Linked DNA regions of Stegostoma tigrinum. The protein of the gene in region 2 interacts with the protein of the main gene of each other region in a pairwise test. Links are inferred from orthologs where the notes say so. Each region holds a gene or a part of one and is shown on either strand. Other genes may lie near its edges. The genes, in order: trim32, ubiquitin-conjugating enzyme E2 U-like and E3 ubiquitin-protein ligase RNF144B-like.

The links.
Region 1: the proteins of ubiquitin-conjugating enzyme E2 U-like (region 2) and trim32 interact in binary tests that used the Homo sapiens proteins (3 or more experiments, as listed by UniProt). The link is inferred for Stegostoma tigrinum from reciprocal best matches to the Homo sapiens genes UBE2U and TRIM32.
Region 3: the proteins of ubiquitin-conjugating enzyme E2 U-like (region 2) and E3 ubiquitin-protein ligase RNF144B-like interact in a two-hybrid assay, tested with the Homo sapiens proteins (2 studies listed by BioGRID and IntAct). The link is inferred for Stegostoma tigrinum from reciprocal best matches to the Homo sapiens genes UBE2U and RNF144B.

The regions. Positions count from the first base shown.
Region 1 is NC_081382.1:14,831,293-14,842,310, reverse strand, and holds the start of trim32 (E3 ubiquitin-protein ligase TRIM32), read left to right. Parts: upstream 1-7,054; 5' UTR 7,055-7,219; intron 7,220-11,018. UniProt on the Homo sapiens protein: E3 ubiquitin ligase that plays a role in various biological processes including neural stem cell differentiation, innate immunity, inflammatory resonse and autophagy.
Region 2 is NC_081361.1:49,099,182-49,109,684, reverse strand, and holds the start of ubiquitin-conjugating enzyme E2 U-like, read right to left. Parts: upstream 4,271-10,503; 5' UTR 4,220-4,270; coding exon of another isoform or gene 4,189-4,219; intron 1,590-4,188; 5' UTR 1,507-1,589; coding exon 1,441-1,506; coding exon of another isoform or gene 1,437-1,440; intron 24-1,436; coding exon 1-23. UniProt on the Homo sapiens protein: Catalyzes the covalent attachment of ubiquitin to other proteins.
Region 3 is NC_081355.1:32,894,121-32,905,032, reverse strand, and holds the start of E3 ubiquitin-protein ligase RNF144B-like, read left to right. Parts: upstream 1-6,510; 5' UTR 6,511-6,863; intron 6,864-10,912.

The DNA.
Region 1 (11,018 bases), on a different chromosome or scaffold from region 2:
CCCAGATTCTACATCCAGGAGTCCTAGACTTCTTTAAGTGTGGGAAGATGAAGGGAGTTGGTTCGGGGGGTGCATGGCACTGATGGGGGTTGAGGCTGGATAGGGAGTGTGGGAGGAGAGGGTGGGAGTCTTGGTAGAGAACACCGAGACGGATCTACTCAAGAATCTAATTTACAGCAGTAGTAGCTGTCGTCCCAAGTGAAATTGTGGAATAGGTGAGCAGTGAGCAGAAAGCTATCTGTAGAATTTTTGCAAAGCTGCCTGTGGAGGACTGTAAGATTTTGCCCTCTGATTTCAGAATAAGGTTAAGCTTGTTTATCAGACTATTGTGAAAAATGCAAGTTTATTCATCAGGGTAGAAATTTAGGACAACATTTGTAGGAGCTAAATACTCAATGACTCAATGCTTATCAGAAGAACCTCTGTTCACAACCTAACCACTTAAGGGATATGAATAATTAACATTCTAATTGCCTAACTATTGAGAAAGAACTACAATAATTGTTACAGAGGACTTTATTTCTTTCTTGACTCGAGAATTGGACAGGAATGATGCTTCTTTATATTCTTGCCAGTTTCTGTTTTGGTTGATCTTTTCCATGTTGAGGAACTGAAACCTGGTCCAAAATGTTAAATGTCGAAATGACATTTCAACAGGCCTCAAAAGTTATTGGAATAAGCTACAAGAGATTCCACCCTTTTGTTCCCTCTGTAATTTAACTGAAATAGAAACTATTGTATTTTCTGCATTTCAGCTTCAATGTAAGACTTGCTTTGAAATGCATTAATTGTTATCTTGAGCCTGAATGCAATGGCCCAATAATTTCTCATTCGGCGTTTCTCAAAATGCAAAGAATTTGTGTAATAGTTCCAAAAGCAAAGTACAGAGAGACATGCATAATTGCTAGTCCTGTGACAATCCACTTTGTGCATAAGGTTGAAACAAAACACAGAATGACCATCATTAAATTGAAATCAACAAATGCTGGAGATCACAGCACATCAGGCAGCATCCATTAAATCGTTCAAGCAACTGCAGTGCCCCAGTTAAGAACAGAAATCATAGTGGTCAAAGGATCATTTGAGTTTAGACCGAAGAGGATGAATTTAGTAGTTTAACATAAACAATGTTGATTCAGCTTCCTGATACGCATTTCTTTTTAAAGTTTCTTCACACCTGGCCTTCTCTCTGGGGATAGTGAGAAGTGGTGAAAGAATTCTGGGACTGTTTACCAACTTGTAAATCCATGTCATGAGCACTCGTTATGGGTCCAACAACTCCTGGCTTAGACCTTGCACCTGGAGATACTGATATTAGACCAGAAGACCATAAGACATAGCAGTGGAAGTAAGGCCATTCGGCCCATCAAGTCCACTCCGCCGTTTAAATCATGGCTGATGGGCATTTCAACACCACTTCCCTGCACTCTCCCCGTAGCCCTTGATTCCTTTTGATATCAAGAATTTGTTGATCTCTGCCTTGAAGGCATCCAATGTCCCAGCCTCCACTGCACTCTGCAGAAATGAATTCCACAAGCCCACCAATCTCTGGCTGAAGAAATGTCGTCTCATTTCAGTTTTAAATTTACCTCCTCTAATTTTAAAGCTGTGCCTACGGGTCCTAGTTTCCCCGCCAAACTGAAACAACTTCTGAGCGTCCACCCCTTCTAAATCACACATTATCTTGTAAGTTTCTATTAGATCTCCCCGCAACCTTCTAAACTCTAATGAGTACAATCCTAGGATCCTTAGCTGTTCATCATACGTTAAACCTACCATTCCAGGGATCATCCATGTGAATCATTGCAGGACAAGCTCCAGGGCTAGTATGTCCTTCCTGAGGTGTGGGGCCCAAAATTGGACACAGTATTCTAAATGGGGCCTAACTAGAGCCTTATAAAGCCTCAGAAGCACATTGCTGCTTTTATATTCCAACCCTCTTGAGATAAACGACAACATTACATTCGCTTTCTTAATTACGGACTCTACCTGCAAGTTAACCGAGAGAAAATCCTGGGCCAACACTCCCAGATCCCTTTGCACTTCTGATTTGTAAATTTTCTCACCGTTTAGAAAATAGTCCATGCCTGTATTCTTTTTTCCAAAGTGCAAAACCTCACATTTACTCACATTGAATTTCATCAGCCATTTCCTGGATCACTCTCCTAAAAAGTCTAAATCTTTCTGCAGCTTCCCCACCTCCTCAGTACTACTTGCCTGTCCACCTATCTTCGTATCATCAGCAAACTTCGCCAGAATGCCCCCGTTCCCTTCATCCAGATCATTAACGTATAACGTGAACAGCTGCGGCCTCAACACTGAACCTTGCAGGACGCCACTCGTCACCAGTTGCCATTCCGAAAAAGAGCTTTTTATCCCAACTCTCTGCCTTCTGTCAGACAGCCAATCCTCAATCCAAGCCAGTAGCTCACCTCGAACACCATGGGCCCTCACCTTGCTCAGCAGCCTTCCGTGAGGCACCGTATCAAAGGCCTTTTGGAAGTCTAGATAGATAACATCTACTGGGTTTCCCTGGTCTAACATACTTGTTACACCTTCAAAGAATTCTAACAGGTTTGTCAGGCACGACCTCCCCTTACTAAATCCATGCTGACTTGTTCTAATCTGACCCTGCACTTCTAGGAATTTAGAAATCTCATCTTTGACAATGGATTCTAGAATTTTACCAACTACCAAGGTTCGGCTAATCAGCCTGTAATTTTCCATCTTTTGCCTTAATCCCTTCTTAAACAAGGGAGTTAAAACAGCAATTTTCCAATCATCTGGGACTTTCCCTGACTCCAGTGACTTTTGAAAGATCACAACCAAAGCCTCCGCTATTTCCTCAGCCACCTCCCTCAGAACTCTAGGATGTAGCCCATCAGGGCCAGGAGATTTATCAATTTTTAGACCCTTCAGCTTTTCTAGCACTTTCTCTTTTGTAATGCCTACCGTACTCAACTCTGCCCCCTGACTCTCCCTAATTGTTGGCATACTACTTATGTCTTCCACTGTGAAGACTGACGCAAAGTACTTATTAAGTTCTTCAGCTATTTCCTTATCTTCCATCACTAGCCTTCTAGCATCAATTTGGAGCAGCCCAATATCTACTTTTCCCACTCGTTTGTTTCTTGTGTATTGAAAGAAGCTTTTACTGTCATTTCTAGTATTACTAGCTAGCCTACCTTCATATTTGATCCTCTCCTTCCTTATTGCTCTCTTTGTTATCCTCTGTTTGTTTTTGTAGCCTTCCCAATCTTCTGATTTCCCAGTGCTCTTGGCCACTTTATAGGCTGTCTCTTTTTCTTTGATATATTTCCTGACTTCCTTTGTCAGCCATGGCTGTCTAATCCCAACCCGGATAATCTTTCTTTTCTTTGGGATGAACCTCTGTACTGTGTCCTCAATTACACCCAGAAACTCCTGCCATTGTTGGTCTACTGTCTTCCCCGCTGAGCTCTGCTTCCAGTCGATTTTCGTCAATTCCTCTCTCATGCCCCTGTAATTACCTTTATTTAACTGTAACACCATTACGTCCAATTTTGCCTTCTCTCTTTCAAACTGCAGACTGAACTCTACCATATTATGATTGCTGCCTCCTAAGTGTTCCCTTTCTTTAAGGTCTTTTATAAAGTCTGGCTCATATTAAAACTGTATCACACGACATCTTCAATATACAGTAAGTCAATGGAATTAAAAACAATGGGTGCCTAAATCAATGCCATCTGTTTTACACTAACAACCAAAGCCACCCTCTGCTTCGGAGTACCCATCAAAAATCTACCTCGCCTTGACACATTGTTTTTTTTCCATATTGTCTGCACCATGATTATTAACACTTCAAAATTTAACTGAGACACAAGGGAAAACAAAAGCATGGAGCTGCAGTTAATGCCAATATCCTGATTACAACACTTGGTCTGAAACAGATCTTTATAGCTGAATGATTTATTGATCTAATTGTAATGATTGGACCGAGGTTAACCAGGTGGACCTCATAGAATACGAGTTCCATGATTGGGGCTGTTAACCTGGTCCAATCAGGGACCCCTGGCTGATACTAAGAACATAAGTGTCAGACTGTTCACTCTGAGAGCTGGCTCTGAGGAAGCTGGATCAGTGCCAAGAATTCTCCATGTGTAAACGAAAGGCAACTTGGTGTTGGGATACCATCTGCATGGAGTTATTTCACTAATATCTCATCATGCAAGTATGACTTCTTCGATCAAGGGATTTACTTGATTTTTACAGAGTGCTTGATAAGATCGCACATAATAAACATAATAAACTAGTCCTTAAATGATGAAAATCAAACAATTCATTGATCATGAGACAGTAGGAACTGCCAATGCTGGAGAATCTGCGATAACACGGTGTAACACTAGATGAACACAGCAGGCCAAGCAGCATCAGACCGTAATTCATAGATCATGGAGCTCTTTTGTGTGAAAGGCTTTTTTCCCGATTTCGATAAACCATTTTAATAACTTGTCTTTAAATACTGGATTTTCAATCTTACGGTGTCATTGAAGGGCTTTATTCCTGAAATCTTCCATATTAGTTCAAAAAATAAGTTAAATCTGGTATAGAAATATTAACACATTCAGGCAAAGAATACAAATAAATAATAACTAAGCAATTACCCAAATATGGCAATATTCTGAACAATGTAATCTGAAACAAAAACTATTAAAGTTCCCATTAGTAGATCAGAAATCAGGTGCCTAGCAATGTTCCATCACCTTAATAATAATGCATCAATAGCTAACACTCTGAAGATACTGTCCAGTTTTACTCACACCGTTAACACAGAAATAAGGCTCCAGTCAGTCTCCATAGAATACTTACAGTGTGGAAACAGGTCCTTTAGCCCAAGACGTCCACACTGCAACTCAGAGCATCCCGCCAATCCCTACATAACCCACTTAATCAACAAATCCCCAAACACAATGGGCAATTTAGCATGGCCAATCCATCTAGCATGCACATCTTTGAACTGTGGGAAGAAACTCACGCAGACACAGGGAGAATGTGCAAACTCCAAACAGTCACCCAAGGGTGGAATCGAACTCAGGCCCCTAGTGCTGTGAGGCAGCAGTGCTAACCACTGAGTCACTGTGCTGTCTCGATGTACCATCTCAAAACAAGCATTTTGAGTATTAAGCAAAATCTTCACATTTAGCTATCAGATCTGGTTCACTTCCTTTCCTGATGTCCAGTTAATATCTAATCACACAGAGCTCATCTATTCTTTACTCCTGTTTTTTTATCGTATTGTGCCAAAGACTTGTGTGGACTTAATATTATTCAGGAATAGGAAAAGTTAACAAACCTGTCTCTTTTTAATCTATCAGCTCATTATTGTGTCTCCAAACCAAAATTTTTCCGACAGATCAAATAGTCACCCAACACAGTTTTACCAACTATTTCAAAGATCCTGCCTTGCAATTGTTTCCATAAACCTAATAGGCCAAAATTTGTGGACTGAAGTAGGAACACAGGAATTAGGATCAAGAATAAGCCATTCAGCCCTTTAAGCTGGATCTGTCATTTGCCAAGATCGCAAGATGTGGCCTCAACTAAACTTCATTCCTGTTCCCCAATACCCTCAACTCCCTTATCTAAAGCAACTGGGGCAGACAGGAAAATGGATGGAGTTCACAGCACTTACAGTCATTCAATTGCAAAGATTTACTCCAGTGGTTTTAGAGAGCAATGTGTTGTTGTAAAAAGAAATATTGGTTGGCATGTTCCAGACACACATGCTCATCCCCAACCACCACAAAATTCAGGCCAGTTTCTTTTAGGTGAAAAAGATTCCCTGACTTCCCTTATGATACATTTTTCAATGTTTTTTTTTATTTGTGGTCTGATATTTGAATTTGTTGCCACGTTAACAGCTTGCTTGGATTCCTTTTTGAATGCCTTCCATCTGCTTGAAGAATCCAAACAGATCTCATTAGGCCAAGCAGCATCTCAGGAGCACAAAAGCTGACGTTTCGGGCCCATCAGCTTTTGTGCTCCTGAGATGTTGCTTGGCCTGCTGTGTTCATCCAGCTTCACACTTTATTATCTTGGATTCTCCAGCATCTGCAGTTCCCATTATCTCAGATCTCATTAGGCTTTCTTCTCTTCTGAAGAATGCCAAATTTCTTACTATTTCTAATTGACTGGATCCAAGATCCAGAGGAATACACATCAATCATGTTCTTCATTTACACTGAGACAAGTAGCTTTACCAGTACCGTATTCCCATAGCAGAAAAGTTTTTCCATGTATTCGGAAACTGTTTCCTAAGCACTGAACAATGTTCTGTACAAGCTGCACAATTGTACACCAGTATCACAACTCAAAACTTCCCACGGGGGATGTGCTCACGTTATTCCTTTGTTTTTACTTTCAAAACGGACTCGGGCCACACTTCAAAACAAGTACCTAATAGTCTACAGTGTTGGTGGGGATGTATAAGAACTTGGCGATAACCAGTGATTGTGAAAATGCAAGTTCTTTTTTTTTCAAAAAATGCAAAAATAGTGGAATATACTTTGCAGTACGATTTTGCAGAACGAGTATGCTTTTATTTAGGTTTCGGCATCGATGGTCAAGCAGTGCGATTTTGCAAAACGTGTACGCTTCATTTATCACTGGGATATCGCTACGGCACGGATACAACAGCGCTAAATCGTTTGGAAATAAAAGGCAAGGAACTTGGCAGAGTGAAAAATAGTAATGATCCACCTTCATAAACATGCACATTTTATATCTCATAAGTACAAGTAAAATAATGACACTCATTATTGCACACAATCCTACCGAAGGGGAAATAAAACAACTTCAACGGGGCGGGGAAATTTTGGTTTGCAACACACTTCGGCGCAACTGCGCACGCGCGTTGTCTTCCCGGGCTGGATACCCTGGAAGGAGAGGTGCGGATTTTGATTGACAGCGGGGGAGAGCCAATCAGTTTCACGTGTGCTCCATCGTTGGCGGAGGACGACAAATGCAGTCGGGCGCGGGGCGGGTGACGTCACAACGGGGCCTGGAAGCTGCCGGGCGAGCGTGAAGTCTGCGACAGGAAGAGCGCGGGCGTGCGCGCGCACGCAGGGGTCGGCGGATGACAGGCGAGCGCCGCACTGCAGGCGCGGGGTCTGCTTCCAGGGCCGCCCCGCACCCCCTTCCCCTAACGATCAAGACAAGAACCTGAAGGACTGAGCCAGCGGTAAATGTCTTCACTTGCTTTTTTCTTAAAAAAAATGTTTCTATATATAGTGCGTTGGTAGACCGCTGCGTTTTTGAAATTTGATCCGAGGCCGGTTTTGTTTGTCTTTCGGATTCCTCGCCGAAGCCTAATAGCTCGACCCTTAGGCTTAGAAGCGTCTGGACAAGCAGTGTTCCTCAAATCTATCCCCCCTATAAATCTAAGCTCCCCGACCCCGTCAAATCCAACCCACCCATATGAATCTAACCCCCTCAAATCCAACCCAATCCCCTCAAATCCAACCCACCCCTATAAATCTAACCCCCTCAAATCCAACCCACCCCTATAAATCTAACCCCCTCAAATCCAACCCACCCCTATAAATCTAACCCCCTCAAATTCAACCCACCCCGATAAATCTAACCCCCTCAAATCCAACCCACCCCTATAAATCTAACCCCCTCAAATCCAACCCAATCCCCTCAAATCCAACCCACCCCTATAAATCTAACCCCCTCAAATCCAACCCACCCCTATGAATCTAACCCCCTCAAATCCAACCCACCCCTATGAATCTAACCCCCTCAAATCCAACCCACCCCTATGAATCTAACCCCCTCAAATCCAACCCACCCCTATGAATCTAACCCCCTCAAATCCAACCCACCCCTATGAATCTAACCCCCTCAAATCCAACCCACCCCTATGAATCTAACCCCCTCAAATCCAACCCACCCCTATGAATCTAACCCCCTCAAATCCAACCCACCCCTATGAATCTAACCCCCTCAAATCCAACCCACCCCTATGAATCTAACCCCCTCAAATCCAACCCACCCCTATGAATCTAACCCCCTCAAATCCAACCCACCCCTATGAATCTAACCCCCTCAAATCCAACCCACCCCTATGAATCTAACCCCCTCAAATCCAACCCACCCCTATGAATCTAACCCCCTCAAATCCAACCCACCCCTATGAATCTAACCCCCTCAAATCCAACCCACCCCTATGAATCTAACCCCCTCAAATCCAACCCACCCCTATGAATCTAACCCCCTCAAATCCAACCCACCCCTATGAATCTAACCCCCTCAAATCCAACCCACCCCTATGAATCTAACCCCCTCAAATCCAACCCACCCCTATGAATCTAACCCCCTCAAATCCAACCCACCCCTATGAATCTAACCCCCTCAAATCCAACCCACCCCTATGAATCTAACCCCCTCAAATCCAACCCACCCCTATGAATCTAACCCCCTCAAATCCAACCCACCCCTATGAATCTAACCCCCTCAAATCCAACCCACCCCTATGAATCTAACCCCCTCAAATCCAACCCACCCCTATGAATCTAACCCCCTCAAATCCAACCCACCCCTATGAATCTAACCCCCTCAAATCCAACCCACCCCTATGAATCTAACCCCCTCAAATCCAACCCACCCCTATGAATCTAACCCCCTCAAATCCAACCCACCCCTATGAATCTAACCCCCTCAAATCCAACCCACCCCTATGAATCTAACCCCCTCAAATCCAACCCACCCCTATGAATCTAACCCCCTCAAATCCAACCCACCCCTATGAATCTAACCCCCTCAAATCCAACCCACCCCTATGAATCTAACCCCCTCAAATCCAACCCACCCCTATGAATCTAACCCCCTCAAATCCAACCCACCCCTATGAATCTAACCCCCTCAAATCCAACCCACCCCTATGAATCTAACCCCCTCAAATCCAACCCACCCCTATGAATCTAACCCCCTCAAATCCAACCCACCCCTATGAATCTAACCCCCTCAAATCCAACCCACCCCTATGAATCTAACCCCCTCAAATCCAACCCACCCCTATGAATCTAACCCCCTCAAATCCAACCCACCCCTATGAATCTAACCCCCTCAAATCCAACCCACCCCTATGAATCTAACCCCCTCAAATCCAACCCACCCCTATGAATCTAACCCCCTCAAATCCAACCCACCCCTATGAATCTAACCCCCTCAAATCCAACCCACCCCTATGAATCTAACCCCCTCAAATCCAACCCACCCCTATGAATCTAACCCCCTCAAATCCAACCCACCCCTATGAATCTAACCCCCTCAAATCCAACCCACCCCTATGAATCTAACCCCCTCAAATCCAACCCACCCCTATGAATCTAACCCCCTCAAATCCAACCCACCCCTATGAATCTAACCCCCTCAAATCCAACCCACCCCTATGAATCTAACCCCCTCAAATCCAACCCACCCCTATGAATCTAACCCCCTCAAATCCAACCCACCCCTATGAATCTAACCCCCTCAAATCCAACCCACCCCTATGAATCTAACCCCCTCAAATCCAACCCACCCCTATGAATCTAACCCCCTCAAATCCAACCCACCCCTATGAATCTAACCCCCTCAAATCCAACCCACCCCTATGAATCTAACCCCCTCAAATCCAACCCACCCCTATGAATCTAACCCCCTCAAATCCAACCCACCCCTATGAATCTAACCCCCTCAAATCCAACCCACCCCTATGAATCTAACCCCCTCAAATCCAACCCACCCCTATGAATCTAACCCCCTCAAATCCAACCCACCCCTATGAATCTAACCCCCTCAAATCCAACCCACCCCTATGAATCTAACCCCCTCAAATCCAACCCACCCCTATGAATCTAACCCCCTCAAATCCAACCCACCCCTATGAATCTAACCCCCTCAAATCCAACCCACCCCTATGAATCTAACCCCCTCAAATCCAACCCACCCCTATGAATCTAACCCCCTCAAATCCAACCCACCCCTATGAATCTAACCCCCTCAAATCCAACCCACCCCTATGAATCTAACCCCCTCAAATCCAACCCACCCCTATGAATCTAACCCCCTCAAATCCAACCCACCCCTATGAATCTAACCCCCTCAAATCCAACCCACCCCTATGAATCTAACCCCCTCAAATCCAACCCACCCCTATGAATCTAACCCCCTCAAATCCAACCCACCCCTATGAATCTAACCCCCTCAAATCCAACCCACCCCTATGAATCTAACCCCCTCAAATCCAACCCACCCCTATGAATCTAACCCCCTCAAATCCAACCCACCCCTATGAATCTAACCCCCTCAAATCCAACCCACCCCTATGAATCTAACCCCCTCAAATCCAACCCACCCCTATGAATCTAACCCCCTCAAATCCAACCCACCCCTATGAATCTAACCCCCTCAAATCCAACCCACCCCTATGAATCTAACCCCCTCAAATCCAACCCACCCCTATGAATCTAACCCCCTCAAATCCAACCCACCCCTATGAATCTAACCCCCTCAAATCCAACCCACCCCTATGAATCTAACCCCCTCAAATCCAACCCACCCCTATGAATCTAACCCCCTCAAATCCAACCCACCCCTATGAATCTAACCCCCTCAAATCCAACCCACCCCTATGAATCTAACCCCCTCAAATCCAACCCACCCCTATGAATCTAACCCCCTCAAATCCAACCCACCCCTATGAATCTAACCCCCTCAAATCCAACCCACCCCTATGAATCTAACCCCCTCAAATCCAACCCACCCCTATGAATCTAACCCCCTCAAATCCAACCCACCCCTATGAATCTAACCCCCTCAAATCCAACCCACCCCTATGAATCTAACCCCCTCAAATCCAACCCACCCCTATGAATCTAACCCCCTCAAATCCAACCCACCCCTATGAATCTAACCCCCTCAAATCCAACCCACCCCTATGAATCTAACCCCCTCAAATCCAACCCACCCCTATGAATCTAACCCCCTCAAAT
Region 2 (10,503 bases):
CTAACTGGGGACACATTAATGCCCTGCAGTTGTATAAAAGTATATTGTACTATTAAAGTGACTGTGTAACTTTAAAGATACATATTCATTAGAAGCCCTCCTCCCATCTCTAGATTCCATGTAACATTCAGCAACCTAGTTCAGCAGTGAGCAAGGATATCCAGGCTTCCACAGTAAAATAATCTACCAATTCTGTGGCATGGTGGCTCAGTGGTTAGCACTAGTGCCTAACAGTGCCAGCAACCCAGGTTCAATTCCAGCCTGGGATCACTGTCTGTCTAGAGTTTGCATGTTTTCCCTGTGTTTGCGTGGGTTTCTGCTGGGTGCTCTGGGTTTCCTCCCACAGTCCAAAGATGAGCATGTTAGGTAGATTGGCCATGCTAAATTGCCCTGTGGTGTCCAAAGATGTGCGGGCTAGGCAGATTAGCCTGAGGGGATAGGATGGAGACTGGGTTTGGAGGTTTAGTGCAGATTCAATGGCCTCTTTTTCTACTGTAGGGAGTCTATGACTCTACCATCCTGGCTCACTTGAATAGATGCTGTTACCCACACCACTGTACCAGAACATGAATCGTTCTCTTCAGGAAAACAAAGTTAAACAGGCAGAAAAGAAGTGCACTTGTACACCTTGGAAATCCTATTTATCAGTTAAATATAAATTCCTGCTTATCAGATAAATTATTCATTACCACACCTACGTTTTAAACATTTTGTCTCCAGTCCCTAATTGTAAAACATGGAAAAATGAACTGGCAGTCTGCATGGCAACAAATATTAGATTGCTTAAATTTCACATACAGAATGTTCACTGGCTTAAATTTCACTGAGATGGTCAAACAATTATCATCATTTTGTACAGACTGGCTCAACATTTTTATACTTACTTAAATACAAACAATTTAAAAATACCAACCACCACAAAACCAAACAATTCACTTAACTCATTCATCATATAACCATAAAACACTCTGTGGCGAAGCCAGTCTCAGGGGATACAAAGTGTATGAGGTCTAATAATAGGGTGGCAGAGGGAAGGGAAGATTTAAGAAATCAAGTAGGAGGAAGAAAAAGAACAAGGCAAGCAGGAATACAAAGGCAACAGTGAAATAACATGACATAATATTAGTGAAACTGAAAGGGAGAGTGGGTAACAAAAATAATTTGAGACTGGAAATTAAACAGAAACAGTTATTGGGCAAGAAAAAGAAAGCAGGTATGTCTGTGATCAATGCTTCAAAAGTTCAAGTTGACCAAATATGGAAATCCAAAGCAGGAAAATGACTGATGAGATCAATCAGAAAGGGGTCAAATCACTTTGCTCTGACCCCAGATTTGCTGTCAAATTGAGGGAGAAACTGAGGAAAGGCAGTCTGTGTGAAAGTGCAGTATTTCCGGTCATACAAGGTCGACTAATATTGCAAAATATTCAGACTTACTTACAAAGAGTCTAGTTTCTTGAAGTTTAGCATGTTCTCTTTCCAGTAATAAGTATGCCTTGGATTGCATGGCCTTGCAGCAAAATGACTCACCAAATGAATAATCTCCTTAATCATGTCAGTATAAAATATGGCACTGAATATTTCCTCCACCTTTGTGGTGTCAAACAAACCAGAAAGTGCAATTTAATATTATACAATATTTATATTAAATGAACAAAATACAATTAATACGTTAATGAAACAGTATCAGTCAGTCAGTTATTATGGGAAATAACAAAAAGAAAAGTGATTCGATATAAAATGGCAAGATGGCCATTTGAACTTTTGTGGAAACTTGGTTATCCAATAGTAAGAAGTTATTCTGCTTAATATTTTCCACTAAGTGCTCATCGTGTTTTGATTGACATGAGTTATGTCATCAAAATTAATATGAAATTATACTGTATGATGTTAACATTAGATTATTTTCATTTCCTACTTTGAATGATATTCTGGGATAAGATTATTTTTAATCATTGTATATTTGTCCCCTTTCTTTTCTCACCTTCAGGCTAGAGGCTCGGAGTTCTGCAGCAAGTAACTGACCTCCCAACCCGCCAAAGTTTGTCCACCATCTATAAGGCTCAAGTCAAGAGTGTGGTGGACTGTTGTCTGGATGTGTACAGCTCCAAAAACACTAAAGAAGTTTCATGCCACTGAGAATAAAGCAACCCAATTGATTGGCACCCTATCCACCACTTTCAACATTTCACCATCTATGAAATGCAGTGCAATAAACCACTAAGACTCTTCTAACAGCACTTCCCAAACCTGTGACCTATAGTACTCGAAAGGCAGTGGCTGCAGATCCATGGGAACAACCCAACTATAAGTTCTCCTCTAAGTCACACACCATCTTGACTTGGAATTATATCATCATTCCTATCCTGTCACTGGATCAAAAATCCTTCCTAACTGAACTATGGATGTCACTACGTCCTGAGGGTTGTAATGGTTTTAATGGTTCAAAAAGGCAGCTCACAATCACCTTCTCAAGAGCAATTAGGGATGGGCAATAAATGATGGCTCAGCTGGCAAAGCCCACATCTCACAAATGAAGTAAAAACCAAACCTTGAGAATTTTGTTGGTCACCACTTCCCATTTTTGAGGCCTCTATCAATTACATTTAAAAAGCAGCTTCAAGATTATGTTCCAAGGTTTTACACCACACAATATGACACAAGTAATTCACTTACATTTCAACAGCAAGTTTCTATTACAACTGAAATCTAAGGTGAGGGATGGTACAAGGGGTATTGAGCTGACAGGAGATGTTAAAAAGGAGAAATGTAGAGGCGTTGAGCTAAAGCAGTTGTAGGGTCATGAAGATAAATGTTGGGTTAATAGACTGAGGGCAGGTATAGAAGGCACTGTCAATAGTATAGGAGCATGAAAGGAGGGAGATGTTGCAGCCACTGATATTGGATGAAAGGGAACATTCAGTTGAAGTTAGACAAAAAGGGTAACAATGGTTAAGTACAGGGATATTGAGATGAGTGTAGTGTTTGATTGCCTGAGTCTTGCAGCGGGGAGTTTTTAAGCTAAAGGAAGTCATCAGAAGCACACATTGGGCTTCTATTGGCAGGAACAGAGATTTGAGACTGTGTATGGGGGGTATTAAAACTGTTCATGGGGATTTGGAGGTGGTGCAGGCATATTGAGGGTGGGTTTAATTAGCAGATATTAAAGGGGGTGATTGAAGCATGGGTGTGGGGGATTGATAGAGTAAAAGGTAGTATAAAATTTAGAGAACATTGCAGGGAGTACTGAGGTATTGAGGGCTGTTTTAGGGGTGAGGAGGTGTACTAGATACCAGAGGTACTGACAGGTATTTAGAGGGAAATGAGCAAAATTAGTGTAAAAGGAGAATTTCAGAGATAGTGTGGGGGAATCACAGTGTAGTGAGGGGATAACAAGATACAGCAAGGGTGTTAAGGGATAGTTGGAGGCAATCATAGGACCTAGGAGTAATGGAGTGTTTGGGCAGGATGTGGGGTTAGTGAATGATGAAGGGATGACGTGGGGACTACAGGATGATAAAGCATTGGGGGTGACAAGAGTGTTCAGGGTGACAAAAGATTTGGGGTGAATGAGAGGGATTAGTGCATGATGAGAGGGTTTCGAATGATAACAGGATTAGAATGATGGGGAAGATTAAAGGGCTGATGGGGGTTAAGAAGGTGATTGGGGTTAAGGAGGTGTTGGGGGTGATAGGGCAGATAAGGGGGTGATGGGGCAGATAAGGGGGTGATGGGGGTGATAGGGTGACAGGGCGAATACGGGGGGAGTGGTGATAGGATGGATATGGCGACGATGGGGGTTAAGGGGGTGATGGGGAGGTGATAGGGTGGATAAGGGGGTTATGGGAGAGTTAAGGGTGTGATGGGGGTTAAAGGACGATGAGGGGTAAGTGAGCCATGGGGAGGGAGATGTGGTTTGGGGATACTAACTGCAGTTAGAGGGTATTATTGCAGGATGATGAAGGACCAATCGGACCTGAGCTGCTGCCTTCCCCAGTTTCTGATTTCCGGGTGAATTGTCTCCTTTCCTGGTTCCAAGTCCAGTCTGTTCACTGCCTTCTGGATCTTCACAGGGATCCGCCAACACTTAATACAACTTTACTAAAGATAATATTCAAAGAAATCCACTTCCTTCAGAGAGTGAATGACAAAAATGAACGAAGCTTTAAAGTTTCACGACAATAAATACCTTGGGAAACTGACAGGGATCCCCACTCCATTTCCAGCAGCTCGCCTGCCACCTAAAGTGTTGCTAGTTGCCTGGTAACGAGGGCTGGGGCGATGCTCCCCGCGCCCCCTGCTGGTCCCACACTGTCATTGCAACAGAATGCCAAACAGGGCAAAGTCCCTCAATTCCATCTTCCTGTCCGCAACTCATTCTAACCTTGCTCTGAATTCCTCTCAAAAAATTAATATAAAATTTAAAAAAAACTCCCCACCAATCCCATCTTCACATCATCTATCATAACCCGAGAATTCAGATAGCAAACGCAGTATTGTCGAAATAAAAATAGAAATTGCCACAGAACTCTGCAGGTGTTGAACTTCTGTGGATCAGGAGAAAATAAGAGTTAACGTTTCAAGTCCAGTGAGGAAGGAGGGTCACTGGCTTCGAAATGCTAACTCTGCTTCTCTCTCCACAGATACTGCCAGATCTGCTGAATTTCTCCACAATTTTGTTTCAGATCTTCAGCATCCGTACTTCTTTGTTTTACAATATTGTTTCATGTTGTCATCTGTGAACTTTAACTTTGGCTAGTGTCATCAAACAAAGTAATAAATTTCAGTTAGATAAGCCTTGGATGAGAAGGGTCGTTGCTATGGCCTTGAAGTCAAGTATACCTGAAATAGGCAATGAGCTAAAGTAGGTAATATTAAGGCAATGCCTGTTTATTGTTTCAGAGACAGTAGGAACTGCAGATGCTGGAGAACCTGAGATAACAAATTGTAGAGCTGGATGAACACAGCTGGCCAAGCAGCATCAGAAGAGCAGCAAAGCTGATGTTTTGGGCCCAGACCCTTCTTCAGAAAAGGGTCTTCTTCAGAAAAGTTTTCTGAAGGAGGGTCTAGGCCCGAAACGTCAGCCTTCCTGCTCCTCTGATGCTGCTTCGCCTGCTGTGTTCATCCAGCTCTACACCTTGTTATTGCTTATCCCTCCTTATTTATTCATGTTTTATTCAGTCAGAAGATGTATTTGTAAGGCTAAGCCAGCATTTATAGCACATCCTTGCTTGACTCTGCAGAATATGGTGGTGAGCTGCCTTCTATTAGTGCAGTCCCTGTGGGTTTAATTTACTTAATTGCTTTACTTAATTGTACTGAACTGCCGGAAAACCTGAACAAAAAAAATGCCAAAGAACTGAGGATCCTGGACATCAAAAAAAAACTAAAATTGCTGGTTAAACTCAGCAGGTTTGGCAGCATCTATGATCTACTCCACATTGGGGAGGTGAAACAGACACTGGGCAACCACTTTGTGGAACACCTACGTTCTGTCTGCAAAAATGACCCAGAGCTTTCTGTTATCTGCCACTTGAATGCAACACCGTGTTCCCTGGCCAATGTCTCCGTCTCAGGCTTGCTGCAGTGCTCCAGCTAAGCTCAATGCAAGCTGGAAGAACAGTGTCGCAATTTCCGCATGGGGGCCCTGCAGCCTTTGGGACCAATATTAAGTTCAAAAATTTCAGGGCCTGAGCATCTTCTCCCATGTCCTTACTCCAAACCCCACACATACTAGACCAACATGAGCTGCTACCATGACCAACCAAATGTCAACTACTAACAGTCCCCCATTATCAGCTATTCATTCTCCTAGGCTGACCTTTAACCATTCCTGTGCCTGTCTGACAGTTTTTCTCTCTCTGGGTTCCATCTGCAGCTATCCTTTACTTCTTCCCACTGCCCCCACCCCATCTTCAGCATAGTTACCAAATTTTTCCCAGCGACAATCAGCTCTGAAGAAAGATCACTTGACGAGAATTGATAATTCTGCTTTTTCACCATAGATGCTGCCAGACCTGCTGAGTTTCTTCAGCTATTTCTGTCACTGTGGCTAGAAATCCTGAATAACTTGCTGAGCTTTTTCAGAAGACATTTAAGAGTCTGTAAGGCTAGAAAAGGTAAGGATAGCAGATTTCCTTCCATAAGGGACATTCGTGAGTGAGATTGTCAAGCACATTGACAATGGCTTCATGGATATCATTTGTCCAGGTTTGAATTTAACAAAATTCAAACTTCAACGGCTGTCATAAAGGAGTTCAAACTAGTGTCCCAAGTCCATTAATCTGGGCCTTGCCAGGGATATTATTATCATCCGTCCCACAAATTTGATGAAAACGGAAACAAAAATTAATGAAATTTTCCAGTTGGTGGGACGGCAGTATTTGGAATTGATACGTTGATTAATTGATACAATTGGTATAACTTCCTGGAGAAAAAGACAAAGTAGAGCATTCTTCCAAAGTGGTTGGAAAATGAGAGTCTTTATGGCGTCGACGGAGTGGGAGGAGGAACACATAAATGGTGACAGTGCCAAAGCAAAAGACAAATAATGCTGGAAAACAAATAGAGATTTTAAGTGGGTGTAAATTAAGGTATGCAAATGAGGAAATCGCTGCGACCAGCTGAGAACAATGTTAACAATGCACAGTAATGACAGAAAAATAAAACAAAGAAACTAAAACAGGAATTGCTGGCAAAACTCCGCAGGTCTGTCAGCAGGTTAATTGATACTGCCAAACCTGCTGAGTTTTGACAGTAATGTCTGTTTTCATAATAAAAAAGATAAGGCTGAATAGGGGAAAAGGGATTTAAGGAAAAAAATACAGGACAAGGGTAAAACTCTGAAGTTGTGGAATCAATTTTGAGTCCAAGAGGCTATATTTTGTATTCCCTTCCCTTCCAGTTCTGAAGACCATTATAAACAGACTCAAAATGTTAAATCTGATTCTCTCACTTAGATGCTGCCAGATCTATTGTGTTTTCCCAGCACCTTTTTATTAAATTTCAGATTTCCAGTGTTTGAATATTTTGCTTTTAGATGGATATATTTGAAAGTGAGTGAGGGGAGCAAAGAAATTGAGATAGTAAATGTCATGCTGCCAGATCTCAAAAAGATCTGGAAAGGTTAAGAGGCTGGAGCATAGGGTCTTGGTGGAATGAGAGTTTTGAAAATGGGTTTAAAAAATGATCCTTTGCAAAATGTGGAAATTCTGCAAAGAAGCAAAGGTGAGAGAAGAAGAGCTAAGCATTGAGTCAAGCTCAAGAAATTCATTCAGATGTATGTGCAAGGGTGCAGGCCTGAGGCCTTTACCACATATCATAATGACTGTGGATAGTGTGAGTTAATTCTTTGGAAGAAAGAGAAACATGCAGTTGGCTAAATGTGGCCTTCAGTGTGGAAGCTCAGGTAACAGAGAGGCCTATGGTTTAGACCATAAGTCCATAAGACATAGGAGCAGAAATTAGGCCATTCAGCCCATCGAGTCTGTTCTGCCATTCAATCATGGCTGATAAGTTCCTCATCCCCATTCTCCTGCTTTCTCCCCATAACCATTGAAGACCTTGATAATCAGGAACCCATCTATCTTAGTCTTAAATGTACTCAGTGACCTGGCCTCCATTGGCTTCTGTCGCAGTGAATTCCACAGATTCACCACTCTCTGGTTGAAGAAATTTCTCCTTGTCTCATTCTAAAAGATCTTCCCTTTACTCTAAGGCTGTGCCCTCGGGTCGTAGTCTCTCCTACCAATGGAAGCATTTTCCCAACATCCACTTGTCCAGGCCATTCACTATTCTATGAGTTTCAACTGGATCCCCCCTCGTCTTTCTAAACTCCATCGAGTATAGACCAGAGTCCTCAAACTTTCCATTTCTGGGACCATTCGCATGAACCTCCTCTGAACCCACTCCAGAGCCAGTATACCCTTCCTGAGATACGGGACCCAAAACTATACACAGTACTCCAAATGTGGCCTGACCAGAGCCTTATAAAGCCTTGGTGGTACATCCAAGTCCTGTCAAAATAAATGCCAAAGTTGCATTTGTCTTCCTGACAACTGACTCAACGTGCAAGTTTACCTTGAGAGAAACCTGGACTAAAACTCCCAAGTCTCTCTGCACTTCAGACTTCTGAATTTTCTCCTCATTTATAAAATAGTCCATGTTTCTATGCTTCTTACCAAAGTGCATGACGTCACACTTTCCCATGTTATATTCCATCTGCCACTTCTTTGCCCACTCTCCCAACTTGTCCAAATCTTTCTGCTGCCTCCCCACCTCCTCACTACTACCTGTCCCTCCATCTACCTTTGTATCATCTGCAAATTTAGCCAGAATATCCACAGTTCCTTCATCTAGATTATTAATGTATAAAGTGAAAAGTTGTGGTCCCAACACTAACCCTTGCGGAACTCCATTTGTCACCAGCTGCCATCCTGAGAAAGATCCCTTTATCACCACTCTCTGCTTTCTGCCAGGCAGCCAGTCTTCTATCCATGTTAGCACCTTGCCTCTAACACCATCGGCCCTTATCTTACCCAGCAGCCTCCTGTGTGGCACCTCGTCAAAGGCCTTCTGGAAGTTCAGATAGATAACATCCATTGGTTCTCCATGGTCTAACCTGCTTGTTATTTCCTCAAATAATGCAGCAGATTTGTCAGGCATGACCTCCCCTTGATGAAACCACGCTTACTATACCCTACTTTACTATACACATCCAAATATTCAGAAATCTCATCCTTCACAATGGATTCCAAAATCTTACCCAGGTTAGGCCAATCTGCCTGTAATTTTCACTCTTTTGTCTTACTCCATTTTTAAACAGGGTTGTCATGTTTACAATTTTTCAGTCCTCTGGGACCTTTCCGGACTCTAGCGATTCCTGTAAGATCACCATTCATGCCTCCACTATCACTTCAGCTGTCTCCTTCAGAACTCGGGGGTGTAATCCATGTGGGCGTGATGATTTATCCACTTTCAAGCCATTCAGTTTTTCTAGTGCTTTCTCCTTGGTAATGGCCACCATACTCAACTCTGCCCCCGACTCTCTTAAATTTTTGAGCTATCACTTGTAACTTCCACTGTTAAGACTGACGCAAAGTAATTATTCAGTTCCTCAGCCATTTCCTTTTTCCCCACTGCTATCTCTCCAGTGCATTTTCCAGCAGTCCAATGTCCAATTTCGCCTCTCTTTTGCCCTAAAGAAACTCTACAGTCCTCTTTTATTTTACTGGTTAGATTATCCTCATATTTAATCTTCTCTCTCTTTATTTCTTTTTTTGTTGCCCTCTGTTGGTCTTTATAAGTTTCCAAGTCCTCTGGTTTCCCACTGCCTTTCACCACATTACATGCTTTTTCTTTTGCTTTTACGATCTCCCTGACTTCCATAGTCAGTCACAGTTACCTCATCACCCCTGTACCATGCGTCATTTCCCTCGGCATGAATATTTGCTGTGTCTCCTGAAATACTCCTAAATACTCCTGCCAATGCTGTTCCACTGTCTTTCCTGCTAGGCTCCTCTCCCAGTCTATTCTGCCCAGCTCCTCTCTCATGCCTCTGCAGTTGCCTTTATTCAGCTGTAATATCATTACCTCCGATTCTAACTTCTCCCTCTCAAATTGCAGAGGAAACTCAATCATATCACGAACACTGCCTCCTCAAGGTTCCTTCATCTTAAGCCCCATTATCAAGTCTGCCTCATTGTACAACATTAAATCCAGTATTGCCTGTTTCCTAGTGGGCTCCACCACGAACTGCTCCAAAAAGCCATCTTATAAACATTCCACAAATTCCTTTTCTTGCAATCCACTACCAATCGGATTTTCCCAGTCCACCTGCACACTGAAATCCCCCATGATCACCGTAACTTTGCCTTTCTTACACACCCTTTCTATCTCCTGGTGTATAATGTGCTTCAGCTCCTGATGATTGTACAGAGGCCTGTACATAATTCCATCTATGTTTTTTTCACTTGTGTTTCCTCAGCTCTACCCACACAGATTCTACATCATCTGATCCTTCTTTGTTTCTTACTATTGATTTGAGTTCATTTCTTACTAATAAGGCAACCTCTCCCCCTCTGCCTGTCTATCTTTTCCAAAGAATGTATATCCCTGGATATTCAGCACTCAATCCTGATCCCCTTGCAGCCATGTCTCCATGATGCCCACCACATCATACCTGCCAATTTCGATCTGCAACACAAGCTTATTTACCTTATTTCTTGTACTACGTGCATTCACATATAACACCTTCAATCCAGTCCTAGCCGTCCCTCTTCTCATTGTCACTCGTTTATCCATTGTGCTTGAAGTTTGATCCCTAGCCCTCTCCAAACATTCTGTCCTATCTGTGTCAGTGCTGGAGACTTTAACAACTTCTCCTGAGTCTTCCTTTTCTGTAACTTTTTTCATATTTTTCCATGTAGTTGAACCCGCCACGACAGATGTTAGTCTGCTGTTTTGTTCCCCACTGTGGGGATGTTTTACCCTTCCCTACCGCACC
Region 3 (10,912 bases), on a different chromosome or scaffold from region 2:
TTTGAGTTTCCTGGTTAAGTGATTGAGTTTTTGCAAGCTTTGCCGGAGTTGGTTAGGATTAGGGTTAGAGTTCACACTCTAACCCTAATCCTAACCAACTCCGTCAAAGCCATACAACTTTAGAGAGATTTTCAGCAATTGTCCCTGCTTCCTATCGCTAAATGTGTACTGTATTCTTGCACAGCAGCAAGAGGAAGTAACAAGCAAACTCTTCAATCACTGCTTGGAGGAATCTGTAAAAAATGCCATCCCTGCAAACCCAAATATAGGACGGGAAACCAAATTACAGGATAATCTTGGAAAATCCAGAATGTTTGGTTAACCTGACAATGCAGAATTTGCAGATTTCAATGAGACTTACCAGCTGACTCCAAACCCATTGAATCAGAGTGGAATTCAGTCATCTCGATCTGAAGGGAATTCCTAAGGAGGAGGAAGAAGAAACGATCCAAAGAGTCTTTTTAGTGCTTGAAGTACTTGTTCTAAAAGGGATACAATTTACTGTAGTAACTTAGTTGGAAGAGAATTACTTTTCTGTTAATTTGGGTAAATTTTTGTTCCTTTATTTAAATTAATAATCATAACATGGAATTTCATCAGCCCTTGAGCATTATGGGCAATGGTGAGCAATTTGGGAGAGTGTGCTGAGGATGAAATAAAATCTGATTCTCAATATCACAACAAACGTACAATATTGCCCTAAAGGTTTCAATGGCTAGATGAGAATCTCACTAGTAAGCAGTGAGGACTTTAGTTCCATGCATTTGCATCTTATTAATAGCTAATCTGGCCTCATTTATATGCAGTTCATGATTCCCTTAGGTACAAGTGATAAATTATATTGTGTCATTTCCCAGCTTGAAAGTCTGAGCGGCTACCTGGCAGATGCAGCTTTCAGCTTGCTTTTCTGGGATTCCATATTCAGCCCCATTTACAAACTCCTAATGGCATGCTCTATGGGCAGCAGCAATCGCCTCCATCCTTTGTCCAACAAAGTCAGAATCAGCAAAATGCCAGTCTCACCATATCACCACCTCAGACAAATTCAGAAGACATTTTAGCTCTACACTATTATATGTTGGAGATCATTGACGCTATATATTGTATTGCTTCTGCCAGGTTCACTTTACGAGCAGGGACACACGTCTATCTCATGCACCTGCACAGAGTGCATCTTAGGTCTTTTAGCTTGTCTTTTTAGTGCTCACTCATTTTGCTCTTATTTGGATGTTCGCAGCATCATTTCTTTGTGTTTTGGCGCATTGCTGCTTCATTCAGTACTTACAGGCTCACATTTTCTCTGGCTTGTCTTGCTTCTTAGGGCAGACAGGAAATTAGGCATCCTGTCACCAGTTTCCACCTCTGACCAGTTGATGGGGTTGACGTATTGACATCCAGCATTGTGCCAAGTCTGTGTCACTCCTACAGCATGTGCCAGCAGCATACATAGCAAACACACTGCATGTACTTCAACCAAATAACCATGTCTCAAAGTCCAAGCGAAGTAGTCCTTAGTCGAGAGGAAGGGGAAGGGGTGTTCTTTGATCAGTTGAGGTCATGGAAAACTTAGTCGAGGGCATCGTCACATCTTAATCTAGGGGAATTGGCCACAGTAAGTCAGACACTTGGTGCAGTCAGGGTCCAAAAATCCCTGTCGTTTTGGTCTGTACTGAGCTACTGTCAGTCCTGCAGGTCAAGTCCAAACACCCTAGAGGGGTTACAGGTAAGTCAGTTGTGGAATGATAGAGGCATTGGTTAGATGGCTGTGCCGTGCTCAATTGTGGCTGTCCTCAAAAGTAAGTCCAAGGGGTGGGCTACAGATAGTCCTGGGTTTGGCCCAATAAACGTCAAGAGGGTTTATCAGGTGAAGTTCTTGCTGTGTCGAGGAAAGTGGGAAACTCAAATGTAGGGCAATAAAATGTGAGGCTGGATGAACACAGCAGGCCAAGCAGCATCCCAGGAGCACAAAAGCTGACGTTTCGGGCCTAGACCCTTCATCAGAGAGGGGGATGGGGAGAGGGAACTGGAATAAATAGGGAGAGAGGGGGAGGCGGACCGAAGATGGAGAGTAAAGAAGATAGGTGGAGAGAGTGTAGGTGGGGAGGTAGGGAGGGGATAGGTCGGTCCAGGGAAGACGGACAGGTCAAGGAGGTGGGATGAGGTTAGTAGGTAGCTGGGGGTGCGGCTTGGGGTGGGAGGAAGGGATGGGTGAGAGGAAGAACCGGTTAGGGAGGCAGAGACAGGTTTGAATGGTTTTGGGATGCAGTGGGTGGGGGGGAAGAGCTGGGCTGGTTGTGTGGTGCAGTGGGGGGAGGGGACGAACTGGGCTGGTTTAGGGATGCAGTAGGGGAAGGGGAGATTTTGAAACTGGTGAAGTCCACATTGATACCATATGGCTGCAGGGTTCCCAGGCGGAATATGAGTTGCTGTTCCTGCAACCTTTGGGTGGCATCATTGTGGCAGTGCAGGAGGCCCATGATGGACATGTCATCTAGAGAATGGGAGGGGGAGTGGAAATGGTTTGCGACTGGGAGGTGCAGTTGTTTGTTGCGAACTGAGCGGAGGTGTTCTGCAAAGCGGTTCCCAAGCCTCCGCTTGGTTTCCCCAATGTAGAGGTAGCCGCACCGGGTATAGTGGATGCAGTATACCACATTGGCAGATGTGCAGGTGAACCTCTGCTTAATGTGGAATGTCATCTTGGGGCCTGGGATGGGGGTGAGGGAGGAGGTGTGGGGACAGGTGTAGCATTTCCTGCGGTTGCAGGGGAAGGTGCCGGGTGTGGTGGGGTTGGAGGGCAGTGTGGAGCGAACAAGGGAGTCACGGAGAGAGTGGTCTCTCCAGAAAGCTGACAGGGGAGGGGATGGAAAAATGTCTTGGGATGTAGGGATTGGAAGTATTATACTGTGATGCAAATAATTAATTTAAAGGAAGGCTACTAAAATTTTAAGTGTGCATGGTTCTCACGGCAATGTGGTAGACCAGATGCTGAAGGAAAATAAGAGATATTCATGAAAAATGTCTGCGGACACATTCACGGTTGTTGGAGAGAGTTAATGGGAACTGCAGATGCTGGAGTATCCTAGATAATAAAGTGTGAAGCTGGATGAACACAGCAGGCCAAGCAGCATCTCAGGAACACAAAAGCTGATGTTTCGGGCCTAGACCCTTCATCAGAGAGGTTGTTGGAGTAAGTTTTTTTTCTCTCTGCTGGGGCAGTGTGGACATGTTTGTTCTACTAGGCAGAATTTGGATGTTAATTGAACAATGATTGTAGGTTCCTTTTTAAGACACTTAGAATGAAAAGAAATGTGCAATCATAAATGATTGTGTAGTCACACACAAGTTTATGTAGAACACGAGTGGAGGCAAGGACCTATTACAAAGTGTTCTCAGTAATTTTGGACTAAGTGAGCTCCTCACTCAAGGTCTTGGCTACACCCACGAACATAAGGGTTGAAGAACATCTGAATTCGATTGCTTACCTCTGAGAAGCATTTCGGATAGCCATGCTTCACCAGTACAACTATCTTCCCTAGGATGTATGAAGAAGCAATTTGTCTTTGACGTGGCTGCCGCACACCCAGGTCGTACAAGTAACATGACAATTGATCAGACATGTGATGATTTAAAATGCATACATTTTAAGATGTGAGAGTGTATTTACATCAGTTTCACCTGTACTACCTATGTATTGAGTTTTCTTTTCCCCCATACTCGCCCATTGCATCTAGTTGCAGTCCTCACGTCCCTATTTGTGGATGGAACCAACTCTACATTGGAGCCTGTTGCCCAGAAAGATTTGAGAGGATGTCCCTCAGGGTGTTTCTTGGTCATAGGCCCATTCGTAGGAGGAGCCTGGAGTGGGACTCATGGCTAATGCAGCGAGGTTTGTGGTTGCGGTAGGTCCTGATTGGGACTCATAGCAATGTCAACAAGGCAGCGGCAGTGGAGCCGGGATCTCCTGGGCATCAGATGGACCAGAAATAGGGACTCACTGCAGCCCGGAGACCCGAATGCCTTACAGAAGCCCCTTAAGAAGAGCTGGGGCCGTGCTTAACAATAAGGACTGTAAGTTTGAACATTATTTCTTATTTTTCTGCATATATATTTCCTCTGTCAATTGATGAGAAGATGAGGCTCTATTTAAGTAATTTCTTCTTAATCATTTTGTAATCCAAAATAGCGCCAGATTGTGGCAACAGAACACTTTTCACTCTAATTTTCCAAATATATGTGACAGTAAAATTATTCATTCAATCCGACACGCCAGGTGTGCTCTGCCCTGATGTAGGCTAACACTTCTCAACTGCAACTTCCACAGTGTTAGGGATCAAGGCAGTGTGAAGATGGAGGGATATGGCATTTGCGAAGTATTCTGAGAGGAGACTTGTGGGAGACCTGTTTGTGGTTCCTCCTTTGCCTGGGTGCCTGCTGCCACCATCCTGTCTTCTTCAGAGGAAGGGGCACCTGAAGTAAGATCAAGGTTCCATATGTCCTTCTCGTCTCTTGTCTTGCTGTTGATGCTGAGCACCTTGGCTGAAGTGATGGAGTGTTGTTTCTCATGTATTTCTGGCTGCCACTGAACATTTTACTGAACCCAGATTTCCATGCTGGTTGCCAACCTGTCCATGGAGGTATCAGATGCACACATGCTGAAGCCAGCACAAAACTGAAGACAGTAGTGGACTAGGATAACAAAGCGTGGAGCTGGATGAACACAGCAGGCCAAGCAGCATCTCAGGAGCATAAAAGCTGACGTTTCGGGCCTAGACTCTTCATCAGAGATGTCTCCAGCATCTGCAGTTCCCATTATCACAGTAGTGGACTACTCCAATTTTTAGTGATAATGGGAACTGTTATCTTGGATTCTCCAGCATCTCAAAGTGTGAAGCTGGATGAACACAGCAGGCCAAGCAGCATCTCAGGAGCACAAAAGCTGACGTTTCGGGCCTAGACCCTTCATCAGAGAGAGGTATGGGGAGAGGGTTCTGTAATAAATAGGGAGAGAGGGGGAGGCGGACCGAAGATGGAGAGAAAAGAAGATAGGTGGAGAGTATGGGTGGGGAGGTAGGGAGGGGATAGGTCAGTCCAGGGAAGACAGACAGGTCAAGGAGGCGGGATGAGGTAGTAGGTAGGAAAAGGAGGGGCGGCTTGAGGTGGGAGGAAGGGATGGGTGAGAGGAAGAACAGGTTAAGGGAGCGGAGACAGGCTGGGCTGGTTTTGAGATGCAGTGGGGGGAGGGGACAAGCTGGGCTGGTTTTGTGATGCAGTGCGGGAAGGGGAGATTTTGAAGCTTGTGAAGTCCACATTGATACCATTGGGCTGCAGGGTTCACATTGATACCATTGGACTGACCCATGCTCTCCCTACCTCCCCCCCTATTATCTCCTCTCCACCTATCTTCTTTACTCTCCATCTTCGGTCCGCCTCCCCCTCTCTCCCTATTTATTCCAGTTCCCTCTCCCCAACCCCCTCTCTGATGAAGGGTCTCTGCCCGAAACGTCAGCTTTTGTGCTCCTGAGATGCTGCTTGGCCTGCTGTGTTCATCCAGCCTCACATTTTATTACTCCAATTTTTAATCCAGTTTACCAAGTGTTTCTAGCAAACATGCCTGCTACTACAGTGACTGGCTATCCATTCGCACACTCATTCATAGCCGACACCGTGGGATAATCTTCAAAGAAGCAGAACTTCACAAAGATATGTTGACAAGTTGTTGGCATTACACGGATAGGTAGCAGGTGATGTTCAATGTGGAAAAGTGTGAAATGCTACACACTGGCACAGAGAACATGGAGAGACTGTGTAAAATAAAGGGTACTATTCTAAAGGGGGTGCAGGCCTACAGCGACCTGGATGTATCTGTGTACACAACAACAACAACAAAAACAAAGTGGCTGAAAAAGCTCAGCGGGTCTGGCAGCATCTGTGAAGGAGAAAACAGTTAACGTTTCAGGTCCGGTGACCTTTCCTCAGAACTGAAATCAGTTCTGATTTACAGCATCCACAGTTCTTTCGGTTTTTATTAGTATCTGTGTACAAATTGTTAAAGGTAGCAGGACAAATAGAGAGAGTTGCTTATAAAGCATACAGTAGTTATGTTTCATTAGCCAGTGCATGGAGTACAAGACCAGGGAGTTTATGCTGAACCTATACAGGAAACTGATTAGATTTCAGATGGAATATTCTGGTGCAGAATAAACTGATTGGGTGAGGGGCTGGCCTCTTTCGGGTTGGGTCTTTGATAGTTACCATATTTTTGTTATTTTTCTTTCCATTGACATTTTTGATATGTATTATCATAAATATTTTGTTAGTACCATTAACCTTTATTCAGGATGTTGACAGTCCCAAACAAGAATTATAACTGGAGTCTGGGATTAGCTTCCCTCATCGAGCAGTTGTTCGCAAAACTGAAGTCTTCTTTATTAATATTTAAATTGCCCACAGAGAAAGGAGGAAGTTCCATGCTCAGTTTCCTGTTTAATCACAAGCCTCCCATGGGTGGAGACAACTTATGACGTGGATGTCTGTTGAGGCAACTTGCTCTAAAAAAGAAAGCTGTTTTGTTTTCAAATTAGTCATTCACGAAACTGTAGTCATGCCAACACATCGTGAAAGCAAACCTACCAAAAACTGAAGCGTCTGTCGCTGGAACGTGCACACTTCTGAAAGCCTTTCGAATCAGCAGAGCTACTCAGAAAACTGCAGCAACTGAAAAGTAGCATCGTGTGCCTGCCTGTGTCTGTGTTTTCCCAGGCACAGGTCGGTTTTCGTACCAGGCTGCACATTAATTTCAGCAGATAAACAACTTCCACTGATCTCAGCTTCTTTCCTTCAGGGCTGAAATTTTCTCCTCAGAGGTATGAAATGTGACAATAAATGTTTGATCCGTTCTAGCTTTATTTGTTTAATTTATTTTAGTTAAAATAGTGCCGTAAGGTTGTTACAGAATTCTATTTGGTTGGTATGGAGTGGGGTATTTTTGTTTATTGTTTGTTTGCGGCACACCTTAGGCGTTGGATTTATAGAAAGCAATAACATAACTATTTAGAAATACCTTTTATATATAAGCTACCTGGTTTTATGCAAGTATGTCTGCTGTAAATAGGAGTTCTTTTGGTAACATTTGAAACAACCTTGTCGCATAACCACTTTTGGAACGCGAACTATTTTGGCAAAACTAAGGTGATTTTTCAAATACCACTCGTTGTTTTATCATTTGATTGGTCTGGAAATAAAAATGTTGATTTTATCTTGTCAAACCTAGCCACATTTCTTATTGGTTTCAAAGTCAAAAGTATTCTGTGGTTTTGGGAGGTGGGTAACTCATTGGCGTTTCTACAGTCTAAAATCAGCAACGCCAATCAACATAGCAGATCAAACTCTCCAAACATTGGCACTTGTTCCTCCTGGATTTGTGTTTCTATGCGTACCTGGAGTGAATCATATGTTCCTTTGTAGTAATGGGTTTAAATACTTTACACTAAAATTTTGATCAGGTCGATAAAGTAATTTAGTGATGACATCTGTTGCTGCTCTTATCTTTTTGGTGTTATTGTTATATGCATGCATAATTTTAAACAACCTTTTTTGGTCTCGGGGGAGTTCTAGCGGATGATGTGTGGCCATCAATGGCTTTTGGTTCTGCTTTTACTGCTGTGAATTTTATGTGGAATTATCATCCACTCTGTGAGGAAGAATAGCCTTCTGCTCCATCCCCTGACAGCTTATTTTGTGCTGCTATGATTTAGTTCCTCCTCCAAAATGTGGCCCTTACAATGGTAAGACAGAGATATGCACTGTGCCTTGTGGCTGATAAAATGGAGACTTGCTGGTGACAGGCTTCCACTGGGTTTTGAGAGAAGGGAACGTAAAGAGGTAAGATGGTGGAGATAGTGGGACTTAGGTAAACAGTGTCCTGTCATTGTAAATATGGCCTGATTTCAATTCTAAAATGAGTAACCTTTTAGACAGTGGCCACACTGTCTGAAATTAGAAGGCATATGTAGAGATTCTTGGTGCTTATGAGATTCAAACCATGCCAAAGAAGAGCACTAACTGTTCCTCTATAACACGGTGGTTGGCAGATAGTTGTTGTGCATCTGGTTTTGTTGCCATAACAAGGGCAGGACAGTCTAATGAGACAATAACTTGACTCTTCTGTCCTGTTCACCAGACTGTTCTATTACTGTAAATCTCTAATAGTGCCTCTATCTTGCTGCTATCAGACAGATCCTTCCTTTTCCAAGTCTCAGAAATTTCCTGTCATTAGAGAGAGAAAAAAGGAAAATTGAGTTTTCAATTTTTGATCATATTGCATAAAATAATTAACAAATAAACCAGAAAGAGACTTGCTTTAATATAGTGCTTTTACATAACCTCATGATGTCTATAAGCATTTTATAGCCAATGGAAAACTTGTGAATTGTAATCACTTCTAACTTTTGCTTTTCACTCCTGGGGAAATATGGGTTAACTAGTTGTCAGGCCAACATTTATTGTCTGTCCCTAACTGTCCTTGAAGGTTGTGTTGAGCTGGTCTTTTGAACAGTTGCAGTGTAGAAGGGAAGGTGAGAAATGTTTAGTGCAGCAATTTAATGAGCTGAAATGTGCTACCTTGAAAAACAGATAGTGGTTACTTTCAAAAGGGAGTGGATAATTACTTGAATGAAAGATTTGCTGGACTTTGTGAAAAGTCAAGGAAGTATGACTAAATTGAGTAGCTCCATTTGAAGCACCGATATGATGAACCAAATGGTTTTCTTCTGAACTGTATGAGATTATACTGCCGGATTACTCAAAAAATGCCGTGTATTGACTCTCAAAATTTAACCAATGGACTATTAAATCCAAATGAAAATAAAGAACAATTGCAGAAAAAGTACATTGCTGTCATCCTCATAGGGGTGGCCATCAAAAATCTTTCTTGTCTTCAGGTTCAGTATACTTTGCTTAATCTAATGCCTTCTATATATTGATAGCAGAGCACTGGTAAATTTGTATAGATTTTGCTTGGGGTAAAATTCAGGACATTGTTTAATGTCAGAATGGCATAGACATGTTCAAGTATTTTATATCCACTGTGTACAATATTCTTCAAGACTGTTGAGGGCTGGGTTTCAATTGGTTTGACAGACTGTAAGGATGTTCAGATTATGAACATGTCTTGCCTTTAGAGTGGATTGAATGTTTTACTGCAGTTTGAGTTTGTTTGGTGGAAAGGAAGATGAGGAGACATATTCTGACCTCTATTTGTAACCCAACCAGGGACAGGAATTAAGATTACAGTAAAAAGAGGCATTTATAGACAGGTACTAAATTAGTAACAGGGCCAAATCTAGCTTTTAAATGACCAAGGGTGTAGAGCTGGATGAGCACATCAGGCCAAGCAGCATCAGAAGAGCAGGAAAGCTGATGTTTCGGGCCTGAACCCTTTAGAAAATTACTATTTCTGAATCAGTTTTAACTGACCAAGTTAATGATCAATCATATCTCAGTTAGATGGCGATTCACAGGTGATCACGTGAGTGATCCTACAGGATTAGCTCCTTTTGGCTTTTCTCCCCTCTCCTCAAGCCCTACCTTTTTTCAGAATCTTGCTGTTCCTGATGAGGAATTGTGAATACTGCTGCCATTGACACCACGTTCATGTTCAGTTGGTCAAGAAGTGCAGCAAGTTCAGAATCCAAAGTTTTTAATCCCTCTTCTCATTCCTCATAGTGTTCTCAGTTTTTAGTCCTTTTTTTCTCTCTTAATTGGGGTTGGGCTAATTGCTATCTTCCCCTGTACAGTCATTCTTCATGTGCAAGCCTGGACAGTAAATGTGGATGATATATTTGGTTTTGGATACTGTAGAGTCACACAACTTTAGCTGAGGCCAAAACCAAGGTATTCCAGTCAGAATGACTGGATAGTGATGAAGAGATTCTAGCTGTTAATGATGACACTGATTGCTGCGCCTTTTTTTATAACCAGCTGACTCACCATTGAGCAGGAATTGACTGTGACAACTTATCTTGGTATCATCATATTCATGTTCGGTGTGATGCAGCAGTTCATTTGGTTCAGCCAGCTCTTGCTAAAGAGTCAGAAAGCAAGTCTGATTGCAATCTTAAGCAATGCATAGTTTGATACATCAATGCACTACTAAGAGGCGTATGCCCCTTTTTTCCCTTTTTACGAGGGGCTTTCTGTTTTTTTCTTCTTGAATAGCTATCTTTAATTCATTGAGCTGGAATCTCATTTGTCTGTTTAATTAGATTTGTTTTATTCGTTCATGGGATGCGGACCATGCTGGCTAGGCCAGCATTTATTGCCCGTCCCTCTAAAAGGTGGTTGTGAGCTGCCTATTTGAACTTTTGCAGTCTGTAGCCACCATTGCCATTTCAAAGGATTTTTATCCAGTGTCACTGACGGAACAGCGATTATATTTACAAGTCAGGATGGTGAATGGCTTGGAGGGAAATTCTTAGGTGATTAGTGTTCCCATGTATCTGCTTATTCTTTGAAACCCACAACCACTAGAAGGTGCTATCTAAGCAGCCTTAATGAACTTCTGCAGTGCATCTTGTAGGTGGCACGCACTGCTACTACTGAGCTTGATGGTGGAGAGAATAAATATTTGTGGCTGTTGTGTTAATGAAGTGGATTGTTTGTCCTGAGTGGTGCCAAATGTCTTGAATATTGTTGGAGTTTCAAGAAGGGTGTATTCCATCACACCCCTGACTTAGGCCTTGTAGTGGAATCAGAGGTGAAATTTTTTTTTGGAGACACCTATTTTCTGACTGGCTTTCATAGACACAGTATTTAAATAACTGGTCCAGTTCAATTTCTGTTCAACAGCAAACCCCAGGGTATTAATAATGGAGGATTTCTGTGCTGATAAGGTTATTGAATGTCAAGAGATGGT